2 linked regions of the Caenorhabditis elegans genome follow. The protein of the gene in region 2 purifies or fractionates together with the protein of the main gene of each other region. This does not show direct contact. Each region holds a gene or a part of one and is shown on either strand. Other genes may lie near its edges.

Region 1 (10,020 bases), on a different chromosome or scaffold from region 2:
TTTAAAGTTTTGAATTTTTCAAAGTTGTTCAAAAAAATTTTTTTTCTAACTTTTCTAAAAGTTCAAAAATCTATTGAAACTATATATTTTGTCATTTTTCATACAAAATTTGAATTTTACACACAATTTCCGTTATTTTGACACCCGTGTTGCCTATATTTAATGAAATTTAATTTTTGCCTATTTTTTGCCGGAAATATCGATTTTTGCTCAAACGAGGCCAATATTGGCAATATGGGGTTCAAATTAACGTAAAACACATGAAAAATGCAGAATCTGTAACTTTAGACGCTAAAAATCGATAATTTTCGAAGTTTTGAATTGTGAAAATTTTTGAAAAAAAAATTTTTCTTGAATTTTTTTTTCCTAATTTTTCTAAAAATTAAAAAATACACTAAAACTAGATTTTTGGGCATTTTTCATACAAAATTTGAGTTTTTCATAAAATTTCCGTTACAAAAAAAATTTCCCTCATTGCATAAATTTGATAAAATTTTATTGTTGACCATTTTTTGCCAGTCAGTTGCCGGAAATATCGATTTTTATCAAATTTCACTAAAAATTAACGGAAATAACATGAAAAATGCAAGATCTATAACCTTAGAAGCTGAAAATCGATAACTTTTAAAGTTTTGAATTTTGAAAATTTTTGAAACAAATTTTTTTTTTTTTGGAATTTTTTTTTTAAATTTTAAAAGTTTTAAAAATTCACTTAAACTTGTTTTTGGGCATTTTTCTTACAAAATTTGGGTTTTTTCATAAAATTTTCGTTATTTTGACACCCCTCCCCCCCCCCCCCTCATTAATTGCATACATTCGGTTGAAGTTCATTGCTGCCCATCACTTGCCGGACTGTTGCCGAATATGTCGATTTTTTTTCCAATTTAACCAGATATAGGCAATATGGGGTTCAAATTAACGGAAATCACATGAAAAATGCAGAACCTGTAACCTTAGATGCTAAAAATCAATAGTTATTGCAGTTTTGAATTTTGAAAAAATTTTGAATTTTTTTTCAAAATTTCAAAAAAAAATGTTTGTTTTACTTTTTTATTTACAAAACTAACAGTCAACTATTTGAATATGAAATATTTATTCAATTGCATTATATTTTATGTTAGATATATATCTTGAGTACAGGAAAAAAATAATATTTTGAATATCACAAATTAAAAAAAAACCGAGATCCTTGCCATAAATATTTTTTGATTATAAGAAAAAAAATAATAAAATGAAACATTTCAAAAAAATGAGCAAATCTTTAAAAAAAAATTCAAAATTCTGAAAAAAAATTCAAAAAAAAACATTTCTTTTAGGAATTTTTTTTTTCAAATTTTCAAAAAATCAATAATCTCAAAATTAATAAATGGATGTATAATCTCCAAATTCTCGTTTCTCGAATTTCAGCTCATTTCCATAAAGTGGTCGAATAATGAGCTCAGCTGCAACTCTCATTTCATCCGTCCTCAGCTTTGCCTTGACTTTCAGATTTTTTAGGATTATTGCTAGAATACACTTTTCCTCCATCATTGCAAATCTCATTCCTGAAATTAAAATTTATTGATTTTTTTGGGAAAATTTTTTTTGATAAAAAAAATTTTGCCATTTTTTCCGGAATTATTGATTTTTCTCAAATTTACAGCACATAGACAATTTCGGAGTCAAATTAACAGAAATTACAAGAAAAATTCAAAATGTGATGCTAAAAATCAATAATTTTTGAAATTTCGACTTTTGAAAATTTTTGAAAAAAAGACAATTTTTGAATTTTTTCTAATTTTTCTAAAAATTCAAAAATGAACTAAAACTATACGAAATTTGAATTTGAGACACGATTTCCGTCATTTTGACCGCCATACTGCCTATATTTGGTGAAATTTCATTACTGCTCATCACTTGCCGGTCTCTTGCCGGTCTCTTGCCGAAAAAATCGTTTTTTCTCAAAATTGTATAGGGAATATGAGTGTTAAATAAACAGAAATTACATGGAAAATGAAGAATCTTCAATTTTAGACGCTAAAAATCGATAGTTTTTGAAATTTTGAATTTTGAAAATTTTTGAAAAAAAAAACAATTTTTTGGAATTTTTTTCCAATATTCCTAAAAATTCAAAAAATACTAAAACTTGATTTTTGAGCATTTTCTGCTCCAGTATTGCACATTTACAAAAGATCTAAATAATTTGAGCCCCATATCGGCCATGGAAAAAACCGGCAAAATTTGGTAAAAATTTCCAAAAAAATAAGTTTAAAAAAAATGTAGGCTATATTAGTGTTACATTGACGGAAACCGTGTGTAAAAAAATGTGAAAAATACCAAAAATCTAGTTTTGGTGCATTTCTTGAATTTTTAAAATTTTGAAAAAAAAAATCAAAAAAAAAATTTTTTTGTCAAAAATTATCGGTTTCAGCATCTAATTCTAAATTTTTCATGTTATTTCCGTTAATTTAACCCCCATATTGTCTATATTAGCTGAAATTTGAGAAAAGCCGATATTTCCGGCAACAGACCGGCAAAAGATGGGCAAACATGGAATTTCACCAAAAATAGGCAATATGGGTGTTAAATCAATGGAATTTGCGTAAGAAATTTGAAAATTGACATTAAAACTGCTGAAAATTGTTGGAATTTGAGAAATTCTGAAGATTTTCAAAAAATAAATTTCAAAAAAAAAAAAAAATTTTTTTTTTAATTTTTTAAAAACTCACCAATACAATTTCTGGATCCCGCACTAAATGGAATATAAGCATATGGATGTTTCAGCTCTCCCGTAATAAATCTTTCCGGATTGAAAATCTCCGGATCATCCCAATATCTAGGGTCCTTATGTACCATTGATGGTACCATAACAACAGCAGTTCCAGATGGAAGTGTATGTCCACGTACTTGAATATCTTCAACACATTGTCTTGCAATTAATGGTACTGATGGATATAATCTCAGAGTTTCTTTGAAACAGGCTTCCAAATATTTCAGTTTTCCCAAATCCTCGTAGCTGACTGGCCGATCGGCTTCTCCCAAAACTTCGTCGATTTCTTTTTGAACTTTTGATTGGATTTCTGGATTTGCTCCCATTAAGTGGAGGAACCAATTCATTGCGGCTGATGTTGTGTCGTGGCCTGGAAAAAATTACAAAACTTTAAAATTTTAGAAACTCAAAAAATTTTTAATTTTTTAAAAATTGCCATTAGAGCGCATTTACGTTATTGAAAAATTATTATGTTTGAAATTTGCTAATTTTTAAATTATGAGCACATATTCAGCTCTACTTCAATTTTTAGAAAATCAAAAAATATTGAAAATTAGCCGAGATACTATAGTTTCAAAATTATTAATTTTTTCGAAAATTTTTCAAACTTGGATTTTATCATGATTTTTGAAACTGTCGTATTTTTTAAAATTTTTGAAATTTTTCAAATTTTCAAGTTGTAGCATATAGAAAAATATAACATCTACAATTTAAAATAAAATATGCTTTTATTTGCAAATTTTAAGGGTAGTAAATGCGCTCTAAAGACAACTTTTTGGAAGGTTTTGGTAAATTATCATTAGAGCCCATTTACGTCATTGAAAGGTTATTTTATTGAAAATTGGTTTCATTTTATATTTTGAGCACATAGTTTTCTGCATTTTGGTTTTTAGAGCATCAAAAAATATTGAAAATTCGCCGAGATACGGTAGTTTCCAATCTATTGATTTTTTCGAAAATTTCTCAAAAATTGATTTCTACCATGGTTTTTGAAACTGCCGTGTTTTTGCCAATATTATAAATTTTTTAAATTTTTAAGTTGTAGCGTGTAGAAACATATTACATCTACAATTTATAATAATATACGTATTAATATGCTAGTTTTCAAAAGTAGTAATTGCGCTCTAAAGACAAATTTTGGAAAATTTTGGTAAATTATTAATAGAGCGCATTTACGTCACTGAAAAGATATTTTAATTAAATTTTGTTAATGGTCAAATTATGAACACATAGTTAACCGCATTTCTGTTTTTAGAACATCAAAAAATATTAAAAACTAGCTGAGATACTGTAGTCTCAAAATTATTGATTTTTCTAAAATTTTACAAAAATTGATTTTTACCATAATTTTTGAAACTGTCGTATTTTTGTCAAATTTTTAATTTTTCAAATTTTCAAACTGTGGCATATAGAAAAATAGATGATCTACAATTTAAACACAACAACGCTTTTATTTGCTAATTTTTGAACGTAGTAAATGCGCTCCAAAGACAATTCTTGAAAAGTTTTGGCAAATTATGATTAGAGCGCATTTACTTTTTAGACAAATTTTTTTATTTGAAATTTGTAAAATTTTAAATTGGACCTATTATCAGCTGCATTTTAGTTTTTAGAGCATCAAAAAATATTGAAAATAAGCTGAGATACTGTAGTTTCAAAATTATTGGTTTTTTTTTCAAAAATTTCAAAAAATTAAAAATTTGCCAACTTTTTCCAAATTATCACATTTTAGCTAATTTCAAATATTTTTTTCAAAATTTCAAAATGCGTCTGGAAGAAAAATATGTCACCTTTAATTTGACAATATTCAATTTTTGAAAAACAAGTTTTTAAATGTGGTAAACGCGCTCCAATGCAAAACTGTAAAAATTTTACGAAGTATGATTTTTGGGCCAAATTTTTCAGATTTTCCAATAAAAATTTTAAAAAAACTGACCTTCAAATGTAAAAGTATCAACTTCTTCACAAATCCCTTCCATCGGAAGTTCTCCCTTCGAATTCATATCCAACATGAGATCTAGGAAAGCCATCCGCCTTCGTCCTTCAGCTGTTTCCTGAGCCAAAAGTTGCTCTACACCTCCAGCAGCATCTACCTTAGCTTTACGTGCGTATATGGCTTTTGAGGTGAATTCGTGGAGAATCTGGAAAACATTTTTGAAAAAAAAAATTGGAAAAGTTAGTTTCCAAGCTTGTATTAGCGGTATGAAACCCAAAAAATCTGAAATTTCAGATAGAAAAACCTATTTAAGCCTGCCCGGGGTCGAACCCAGGACCTATTTCCCCATAGGCGAACCTCTTACCCACTGCGCCACCACTCCCACTCCTCGGGGGCGCCTTTTGGCGTGCTCCCTTGCAGCATGGCGCAGTAGGTAAGAGGTTCGCCTTTGGAAAAATAGGTCACGGGTTCGACCCCCCGCTGGGGTATATAGCTTTTTCTAGGCGGGGAATTCAAATTTTCGGGTTTTAAATTATGAAAATTTAACTGGAAACTGGTTTTACTTCCAATCATTCATAGTTTTTGTCCATTTTTGACATTTCTAAACAATTTTATGATTAAAATCACCTTCACACACTCATCATGTTCTTTTCCAGGCCCGATCAAATTGAAAATAGTATCCGAAAAGTAGTGTGGGCGGAGTAACCTCTGGAATACGATATCCTTCATTTTGAAAACCGCATCCAAATATGGGGAATGTGGATCTTTTTGTGCATTTATAGATGTTCCTAAGGCAGCTTCACATATAACATCTAATGTGCACAGAGTTATAGTATGGAATACATCTGAATATTCTCCAGTTCCAGCTTGAGCTTCGAATTTTGAGAGTAGGGTCCTTCCGTGCCTGTTGTAGACTTCTACAAAATCTTTCAGAATGTCGTAGTGGAAGGTTGGAGTTAACAGTTTACGACGGGGACGCCATTTGTCTGGTTTTCTGGAATTTTTTTTTTGAAATTTTCCGAAAAAATGACTTAAATTCGATTTGAAACCCAAAAATACGAATTTCTCACCTAGAAAAACATATATACCCACCAGGGGTTCGAACCCGTGACCTATTTCCCCAAAGGCAAACCTCTTACCTACTGCGCCATGCCGCAAGGGAGCGCGCCGCATGGCGCCCTCGGGGAGAGGAAGGGGTGGCGCAGTGGGTAAGAGGCTCGCCTATAAGGAAACAGGTCGGGTTCAACCCCCGTTGTGGTATATAGGTTTTTCTATCTGAAATTTTTGATTTTTTGGGTTTCAAACCGCTGAAATAAGCTTGGAAACCAGTTTTTCCACAGAGTGTGTTATAGTTTGAATTCTTTGTATAAATTTTTTAAAAAAATGTTTGTTTCACATATTAAATTTCAAAATTGTTGAAAATCTCAAAAATTAATAAGTTATGATAGCTTGAAGTTTAGTAAAAATTAATAAAAGGAAAATTGTTGGGTCTTTTGACGGAAAGTTCTGAGGTTACTATTGTTCTGGAGTTTTTTTGGTGTCAAATTTTCAAAAGAAGAAGTTTCCATACCTGTTTCAATCAAAAAATTGTCCGAAAATGTCAAAAATAGGCAAAGTTATGAGTGATTTTAAGTAAAACCAGTTTCCAGAAAAATTTTCACAACTTAAAACCCAAAAATTCGAATTTCTCACCTAGAAAAACATAAATACCCCATCAGGGGTTCGAACCCGTGACCTATTTTTCCATTGGCGAGCCTTTTACCTACTGCGCCATGCTGCAAGTGAGCGCGCTACACTGCGCGCCCAGTAGTGTGCAAGGGGTGGCGCAGTGGGTAAGAGACTTGCTTATGGGGTAGTAGGCCCGGGGTTCGACCCCCGGGCGGCTGATATATGTTTTTCTAGCTGAAATTTCAGATTTTTCGGGTTCCAAACCGCTGAAATAAGATTGCAACCTAGTTTTTCCACATTTTTATGTATAACTTTGTCAGTTTTCGATATTTTTTGGCCATCTAAAAGCCAGTATGTCTAAAATTTTGTGTATTTTTTGGTAGCATTATTTCAAATCTACTCTGATCACAAAAAAAACCTTCAAACTTACGAGATTAGCAGCCCATCTCCAATCCAAGCACTCAAAAACCCGTACAAAAAAGGTTTGTTCAACATTTTAGGGGACCCAAGGATAGCTTCAACCTCATGTGCTCCATAAAGCAGCACAAAAGGTAGTCCTCCAAGCCAGACCCTTGTAATTCTCTCGTCTCCTTTTCTCATCATATAGGCGATTCCCTGAGATTGCTCGAAAAATTCCTCTGGTGAAAAGTGAAATTGATGGAAATTTCCGATAAGTGGAAGTGCGGCGGGTCCTTGGAAGACCGTAAGCTTGTTGTAAATGAATTTTGCTTTCCGGAATGCGAAATGGATTATCCAGGTGATAGTTAGGACTATCAGGGAGGCGGTTATTATACCCATGTTTCTGGAATTTCATTTTGGTATTTAAGGGTAAAGGAGTACAACAGAAAAACAGAACAAGTGTAAAACCAAGAAAAAAAGTGAAAAATCAATAATCTGGAAAAAAAATTAATTATTTGAAATTTTTTGAAATTAAAATTTTTTTTTTTAATTTTGCCGAATATTTTTTCAAAAAAAAAACATCTAATTTTTATACATTGAGAAATGTCCGGAATAAGTTGAATTGGTAAAAAAAATTTTTCTAATATTAGTAAAACAATTTTGAGAAAAATTGAAAAAAAAATTCGACCAAAAATTTTTTTTCGAAAAAAATTTAAAAAATCGACAATACTTCCAAAAAAAAATTCAAACGTATATTAATAGAAAATATTATCAAAATTGAAACAAAATTAGAAGTAAAAACACAAATTTACTGTAAAATCTGATAATTTTCGAAAAAAAAAATTTCGAAAAAAAAATTTTTTGTGGACTAAAACTTTTTCCTACAAGAAAAATAGATAAGTCTAAAATTTCCACAAAAATTGGTGAAATAAATGCTGACGGTACTATTATCATTCAAAAAGAGCAAGAGCAAAAAAGCCCTAAAAAGTTGAAAATGTGGAGAAAAATCGAAAAAAAGTTATTTTCGAAATTTTCAATTGAACAAAACTAAAAAAGACAAAACAAGTTTTAAATTAGATTCCAAAAAAAGGTATACCAAAATCAAAACCGGAATGTTGAGGTCATCCTCACATGTTTGACAAGACAGTTACAATGAGGGAAATGGTAAGAGGAGGTAATTGGGTAGAAGAAATACATTTTAATGGATTGTTAGATAAAGGTTATATGTCTTGGGGTAACAAGTTTTTAGAAAACAAAACCAAAAATCTCAAAAAAAAAAATTTGGAAAAAAAATTTTTTGGATTTTTTTGGACTAAAATTTTTTTTCAAAAATATCGTCAAAAATACATTTATCTTGAATCAGTTTTAAATTGAATTCAGAAATAAAAAATAATAAATTTTTATTAAAAATTTGACCCAAATTTCTTAGAACTACGGTAGTTTGAACATTTTTGAGGGGAAAAAATTCAAAAAAAAATTTAAAAATAAAGAAATTTTTTTTTTCAAAAACGTGGCAGTATTATATTTATTTCGAAGTTCAATTTTACACTAGTTTTGAAAATATACATAACACAAAATTTGGAGCATTATACGACAATTTTGTAAAAAAAAATTTCAAATTTCAAAATTTTCTCACATAAATATATTTATCTGAAAGCAAATTTTATACTGATTTCAAAAACATATTTTATAAAAAATTTGGACTAAAACTCAAAAAGTTATGTAAATTTGAAAAATTTCAGTTGGAAAAAAATTTGTAAAAAATTCAAACTTTTTGAAAATCGAAAAAAATTTTATTTTTTGATCAAAGTTTTTTACAAATGTGTTCTGTTGAAAGCTCTTTTCATGCTCATTTCAAAACTATAAAAATCTAAAAATTCGGCACAAAATTCAAAAAGTTACGTAAGTTTGAAAAGTCTCACTCAGAAAAACTTTTTGAAAAAATCGAAAAAAATTGCTTAAAATTTTTTACAACTATATTCAATTGGAAGCTGTTTTTATGCTTATTTCAAAAATTTAAAAATCTAAAAAATTGATCCAAAACTCGAAAAGTTACGCGAATTTGAAAAATCTCAGTTGGAAAAAAAATTTGGAAAATTTTCAAAAATTCTATTTTTTCAAAAAAAAAACCTTCCCAAAAAACAAAATGAATCAGATCATTGTTCAAGTACTTAATAATATAATAAAGTGTCCTTGGAGTAGTGTTCTGACCACTAAAAGATACAGAGAATCCTGAGAATAGACACTAATGATATGGTGCGATTGTGGAGAGATGAGAGACGCAGAGTGTCCGATCATTTGTACTTTTTTACTGATTCACATGGAAAAATAGTTGAAAAAGATGATACAGTGTTCAATTGGACTTTGGTACAATTATTTGAACTATTTGTATACCCTAAAACCGTTAGACCCTAGAAATCAGAGGCGCGTAACGGTTTTACGCTTGGTGGCCTTGCAAATAGGCGCTGATTAGAGGCTTAGGCTTAGGCTTAGATTTAAGCTTTAGCGTAGGCTTTGGCTTAAGCTTAGTCATAGGCTTAAGCTTTGGGCTAGGTTTAGGTATAGGCTTAGGCTTAGTCTTAGGCTTAGGCTTAGGCTTAGGCTTAGTCTTAAGCTTAGGCTTAGGTTTACGCTTAGGCTTAGGTTTAGGCTTAGTCTTAGGCTTTGGCTTAAGCTAAGGCTTAGGCTTACAGTTAGGCTCAGGCTTAGGCTTAGGCTCAGGCTTTACCTTAGGCTTACGATTAGGCTTGAATTTTTTTTAGAAAAATTTTTTTGGGTCAAACCTTTAGTTAGTTTAAAGTAACGTAACTGAGCGAGTTTTAAGCTTCATTTGATAATTTTTAACTTCATAAAATTATCATATCAAAAGCTTAGGATTGAATATATTTTTTGTTCCGACTTTTTCAAAAAAAAAATTCAACTACCACAGTTCAAGCTACCATAACTCGGTTAATTATTAACCAATTTCGTAAAAATTTAAAATTTTCAAGTTACCTTTCAAGTGATTATTGCCAAATTTAAATAAATATGCAGTTTTTTTTAGAAGTTCCGAAAAAAATTATAGTCCAAACAAAAATTTTTTTTGAAAATTTTTTTTTTTGAAATTTCTGATAAAAGCCTACAAACTACACCCAAATTCTTAAACGATTTAAAATAAAAAAAAACCGTTATAATGGTATTCTGCAAGTAATGTGGCAGATTTCATGAATGGATTACGCTAAATGGAATGGGAATGTGTCCTATTTCTTATGGAATAGCCTGCCTTCTA
Region 2 (6,304 bases):
GAGAAATACAAAGACATGTTTCATTGGTTTCAAAATTTTCCCCAACTTGAGAATTTCCCTCTATAAATAAATTTATAAGCGAACACATCTGCAATGATTATCCGAAACGTAGTGTGTTATCTTGTCGCGTGCGAAACGACAGAATGATGATACGAGAAGACGAGTTTTGTTGCAAACCAAATTTGTTTGAACAGCTTTCAAGCGAACTAATTTTTAAAAAATGATGAAAATTAATTGGAAATTTTTTTTTGTTTTAAATTAAGAGAATTGAAATGCGCTCTATCGAAGAGGCGCACCATTGTTGGGAGATGCAAATTTTGTGGAAATGAGCTACCGCTCGACTTGCAACGAAAATAACAAAGAAAACGTTTTAAATCTTTAAGACGTGCCCAACATTGCCTAAATCAAAGTTTCTCAGTGTTTTTTGTTCTAATGTTAAATAAAAAAGGTTGAATTTATGAAATAGGATTATTTTTCAAGTTGTAGTTTGAAAATCAATTTCCATGCAATTAACATTTCAAATGCAGCACAGCTCTCAATAATTTGCCTTTTTAAAAACATTAACATGTAAGATTCTTTAAAATTTCAAGGACAAAAAAATAAGAAAAAGCACAAACGGAAGGACCAAGAGCGATTCGCAACAATTTATTGAGTTTGGAGTGCACTAAAAAGTCTTTGGGTAGTCTCGAAACCTATTCCCGCACACAATTTTCTTCATGTTCTCGCCTTGAACGTTCCAGTCCAGTGAACACAATATTGAACGAGTAGGCGAAATCGAAGTTCCCTTATCAGAACGTTCTCTGACCTAATCATGCATTTGCCAGTTGCAAATGGGCATATAAAAACGAAATATTTGACTTGCGAAGTTAAGAGATAAACGTGTAGTTACATAAATTTGGCGCCAATGGGCATAAGAATATTATTCAATTTAAAATTCTCCATTATTAAAATGTATATTCAACATGGCACACGCGGGGCGCGTGCGCCGCCCGTGTCCTTGTTCCGTTTTTTTAGTTGGAACGGCTCGCGCCCAAGCAGGGAGTATTTGCTCAAACGGAAGCAGCACTCTTCCCGGCAAAGCTCTCTTCGGGATCTCACAGTGATAATTGACGCGGGAAACAGAGAAGAGACTGCAGCAGTGGGAATGGAAATATGGGAGAGAGGAGAGATCAAGGTTGTTGCAGGGAGCACTGAATTTTTTGCGAACGTGCAAACTTGAACCGAGCGCAAACTTTATCAGCAGTTGACAGTTTAAATGATTGGTACATCTTTTCAAGGATACTCGAGTACCCCAAAAGCCGGCTTTTGGAAAATTTTTCACAGATTTTCCCAAATGTCATAAATAGAGATTTGACAAATATTGTCTTTTTGCAAAAGGATTATGATTTGTTAGTCTCTAAAACAAGAAATGTATAGTTATTTCAGATAGTTGAAGAAATGTGAATAACATTTCAAGATCTACTCGATGTGATCTTCAATTGAATTGGAAAATGACAGTACTACAGCTTCAAAACTCATGGGTCGCAGGAAATAAGAACAATTAATACTTGGGAACACATTGGGACACCCATTAGATAACAATTGACAAGATTTCGGCCTGAATGGTCAACTACTGGCCGGCACTGGTCTAGTTAGAGTGGTATGCAGAGAATGGGAGAATGGCCGCCATCGGGCCGAAACAGCCGTCGCCTATGAGAGAGCCCCACTCATCACAGAGACCGCCAAGAAAAGAGACGGACGACGAAATAGTATGGTGACGTAGACACATGTCGAGTCAGTTGTTAAGGCGGTGGAGGGTGTTAGAAGAGCAGAGAAGAGACACACTACGCGTCAGTAGATGTGAAGGAGGGTATTTAGGATTGTGTATGTTTCGAATCAGAACTGCCATACGTATGGTAATTTCAGTGTAGGATTTCAATGATGTCATATATTATTTACAGTATACTTTGAACTTTAATTTGTTATGGATAGGAAACATAATTTAAATAAAAACAATTTCATTTTGGTCTATAAGAACCTAAACTATTGGTAATGTGGCAATTTCTCTAGAAATAATAATTTTACACACGTTTAATCGTTTCGAAAGATTCAATGCAAAAATATGTTGAGATTCTGCAACTGTCTCGTTGAGCAGGCCACTTCCAATTGTTGATCCTTCCGTCCGAGCAATAGATTTTTGACGATCTCCGATATTCCATGTGTCAGATGATCGGATTCATAATCGGGTCGAAGGACTAGTGCGTTTTTCTATTTAAAAAAAAGTTGATATTGCATTTTAAAAACATAATTTTTCATATTACGTAGACGTCTAAAGACGATAATTTTTGCCTTATTTTACGCGGATGGTCTCGCCACGCACACATCGAGTTACAGAAACTCGTGTTCATCGCTTTTGTATCGTAAATTTATTCAAAAAAGCTTGGCAGTATTTCTTTTTTTTTTTAAGATACAATAGCGGCCAATAAAGCGATACGAGTTACAGTAACCCGATGAAAATGTTCATTTTTAGACGTCTAAGTAGTATTTTTTTTAATCTTAAAGGGTTTTGCCGAGAAAAAAATTGTTGATTTTTTTAAACACAAAACGTCTATATATAGATGTGTATTGTTTCTGACAATTTTCCATTTGGAATTTGTTAAATTAAAACTTACCAAGTGTTCAACCTTTTTTGGTAATGTATAAAGTGTGTTGAAAGTTTCGATAACATCTGTAATTGGTACAACGGCCACTTTTCCAGATTCTGATGTTTTCCTAATTTTCTGCACTTGAGAGGCAACACCCTGCATAGATGGAAGATCGAATGAATCCCAAGAGGAATAGAATCCAAGTCGCCATGGAATCAGATCACCAAGCTGATTCATGGTTCGTTCACAAGACGCAAAAACTGGTCCGTAATTGCAGGTAAACTTTCGAGGAGCTGCGAAAACAACACCATCCAATTTCGGAAGGACTTCCTTGATTTTCGACGACCAATACTAAAATATTTGAATTAACATGAAGACAATTTCGTGCAATTCTTACATCTGCCAGAATTGGATGATTATTCCATCGCCAAATTGCAGATACATCATAGGAATAATCCGAATTTTGTTCAATTCTACTGCTTGTGATATTTTTGTTTCCCTGGACCAATGGAGCTAAATTAAGTAGAATATATAGAAAGTATTAAAAAAAAAAACTCACATGAAGTCTGTTCAATAATTTTAGCGGATTTGACGAGAAGAGTTTCACTATCTATTGCAGAGAAGTGTGGGTAGAGTGGCATGAAGATGTAATGCTGGGATCGATGTCTGAAAGTTTCGATGTTTATTACCAAAATAAGCATTTTCAATAAATTTACGATTTAATCTCTTTTAGTTGATCCTCAAATGATACTTCGTCAAATTGAAACAAACGGGATACTTTGAATGGACCATGCTCTGGTACTACAGTGTCCAATGATTCTTCAATCTTCTTGCCTAGTCTATCAACCTGCGACTCTAAGCTCGGAACATTTTTATAAGCAGCAATGCATCCTTTCAAATTCTCATTTTTCAGTTTGCCGTTGGCGATTAGTCTGAAATACAAGTTTCAGATTTTTAAGTGGATGATTGACTAACGTGTGTACGAAATTTGGCATTCGAAGTCTCATCGATTGCGCGGATTGATTTTTAAGAAATTCCTTGGCATGAAATTCGTTCCATGGCTGACCAGCATGAAGTAGAATTATCTCGGTTTGTGGTGATCGAGCTGGATCTGCGGAAAAGTGTGATCGAGCCTGAAATGTTAAACGATGCTCTTTAAAAGAAATAAAATATTAAAAATATATTCTCACCGCGACGCGGATCACATTTTGATTCCTTGAAAGCATCTTATTCATAACAAAGATTCGAATTAAATAGGCATTCTGAATAAAGTTTATTAATTGAAAGAAGAAGTTTGCAGAAAAAATGAAAAACCCCCATGAGATTGAAAAGTTGAGTGAGATGCAGACGCAGAGAAAGAAAGTAAAACAGTGGCCGTCCATTTCGTTTCGACAAGACTTTTTCAATTTAGCTGATGATTTAATGAACTTGATATAAAAACACAATTAAAAAAAAAACGAAATATTGTCAATCGACAGTAATATTTGATTTTTCCAGAAGCTTTTATCTAAAATACAGAATTACTCATTTAATTTCTAAATTTCTTTTAAATCGACAGTTTTTCTTTCCATTACTCAATTTCAATTTCCCACTTGCATCTGCTTCTTCACCATTTCTTTTCTCATTGGCCAATTCATTGCCTGCTTCAATTTTCACTTCATTCATCAGGCTCATTTTGAAAGAATTCTTTGGTCGCGCCCCTTTTTTCTTTGTTCCGCAAAGAAATTAAATTTTTATTCGTGTTGCTCAGATTTTGAGCTCATTCTTTCTTTAGTAGACAGTTAATTCTCGTAATAGCTCTGGGGTTTCCAAATATTTAAAAATACAGTGAAAGACTTTTCGCACTATTTTGATGGATTGCATTAAAATTTTTGGAAAGTATATTCTTCAAATCTTTCATTTTGAACAATTTAGAAGTCAAGAAATACAGAAACCACGTTTTGCATATAACAAAGAAGTGAACAGTTCCGATAAGAAAGAGACATGGAAATCAGAAATGCTGGAAGAGGAGGAGAAACCATAAGAATACTCGCAATGAATACATTAACATATATATGGAACATAAATGGTGAAAAAAAGAAGTATGCCAAAAAAATTCTAGTAAAGCTGTTAAAATACAGGAGAAATGGGACAAACACAGAAATTGAAAAATACAGTAACAATTGATGAGATTAAAAATTAGAGGAAGAATCGAGAACAGCTAAAAATATTTTCCTCAAATAAGAAAAATATCTAATTGAATAAATTTGTGACCACCAAAATATCCGTGAAATAAAAATTAGTCACAGGGAAGAGATAAATTACATCGTTGGGTAGAGCTAAAATCTCGATTATTTTTGGAAAATTCTAGCCATATCAGCCACAGAGCGACGACTATTTGCATTTTCATCATCATCTGCTGTAGGTGGAGGTGTAGTTGGAGACGTCATTCCAATCAAACGACTTCGAGGTTCTGGTTTAGGAGGAAGTAATGGGGGTGGAGCACCGCCAGGTCCAACTCTGAATACAAATTAAATATTATAATTAACCATAATTTTGAAATTTCAAAACAGTATAAATGTTGTTTTTACATATATTACGCACCTATTACGTTGAGGCAAAGGTGGTGGAGAATCCGAAGCACTTGATGACGTCATGATCTTACTGTTACTTGTTGTTGGAGAAGAAGCTTCACGTGGAGACAGTGAGAAGTCAGAAGAAGCAGAAAGAGTACGTTCAGCTGAAGGACGAAGATGCACTTGTGAAATGAGGGAACTATCTGGTATCATAGCAACACGAACACCAGTTGGAACTTTTCTTGGTTCTTGTTCAACTTCATCAACTTCTTCAATTAGATCAGCCAAATCTCCATTCTCTGGTCCTCCACTTGATTTACTTGTCATCATCACGTCTTCAGAAAGGGATGAATTTAGAATAGATGAAGCTCCTCCTCTTTTCCTTGGTCTTGCCTTTTGTAGATGTGATAGGACTGAAGGCTTTGGTGGCAAATCTAAATTGACTCCTTGCTCCGTAGAATCTCCAACTGTTTCGGAAGATGTTGTCGATGATGTCAGATCTCCAATTATACTTCTCGGACGATGTCCTGCCTGAGAACGTTTCGGAGTGAATGGAGATGACATTGCAGGTGATCCTGTCCCCACAGATGACGTTCTTCCAAGGCTGCATGCATCACCAGATCCTCCAATTGACATTTTGGACAGTTCAGATTCCACGTGTTCGCACATTTCCCTCCATTTCCATTCACTAAACACATGTTTCACTTGTTCTGTGCAAACTTCAGCAAGTCTAGCTGTTGCAAGTTGCTCTGCACGACGCGATGTTGCACTTAAATCACCTCCGATTGTTCTTGAAATGCTCTCAGAAATGATCCGACCGCCTTCCATTTGAAACTTTCCAACGAATTCTTCAATGATTTCAATCATTTTTGGTGGAAATGGTTCTTGTCCAAAAGCTGAAATTGAGTCAACAATGCTTCCAACAACCTCATCATTCGCTTTCTCCATTTTCTGTAGCACTCCCTCTGCGAACATTTTCTTGCAATTGGCTTCGTCGGCTCCGAGAGCTGTTCTATTCCGATACAAGCAGTTTTGAATCTGTGATAATGCTGCCACTGTCCTCGGTCGTTCTACACGCTGCATACAGTCAAATGCATCATGAACAGGATAAGGGAAATGAGTTAA

Evidence for each region. The genes of interacting proteins can lie anywhere in the genome.
Region 1: the proteins of fecl-1 (region 2) and cyp-42A1 fractionate together in Caenorhabditis elegans (co-fractionation; one large-scale study listed by BioGRID). This does not show direct contact.

The regions. Positions count from the first base shown.
Region 1 is NC_003283.11:18,909,173-18,919,192, reverse strand, and holds cyp-42A1 (Cytochrome P450 4V2), read right to left. Parts: upstream 7,158-10,020; 5' UTR 7,152-7,157; coding exon 6,784-7,151; intron 5,680-6,783; coding exon 5,313-5,679; intron 4,891-5,312; coding exon 4,686-4,890; intron 3,120-4,685; coding exon 2,709-3,119; intron 1,545-2,708; coding exon 1,360-1,544; 3' UTR 1,076-1,359; downstream 1-1,075.
Region 2 is NC_003279.8:7,147,957-7,154,260, forward strand, and holds fecl-1 (FErroChelatase-Like), read right to left. Parts: upstream 3,889-6,304; 5' UTR 3,860-3,888; coding exon 3,815-3,859; intron 3,758-3,814; coding exon 3,600-3,757; intron 3,557-3,599; coding exon 3,341-3,556; intron 3,291-3,340; coding exon 3,184-3,290; intron 3,138-3,183; coding exon 3,022-3,137; intron 2,976-3,021; coding exon 2,652-2,975; intron 2,248-2,651; coding exon 2,089-2,247; 3' UTR 1,984-2,088; downstream 1-1,983. Other genes in the region: crml-1 (CARMIL pleckstrin homology domain-containing protein), read right to left, coding at 4,955-5,123, 5,208-6,304.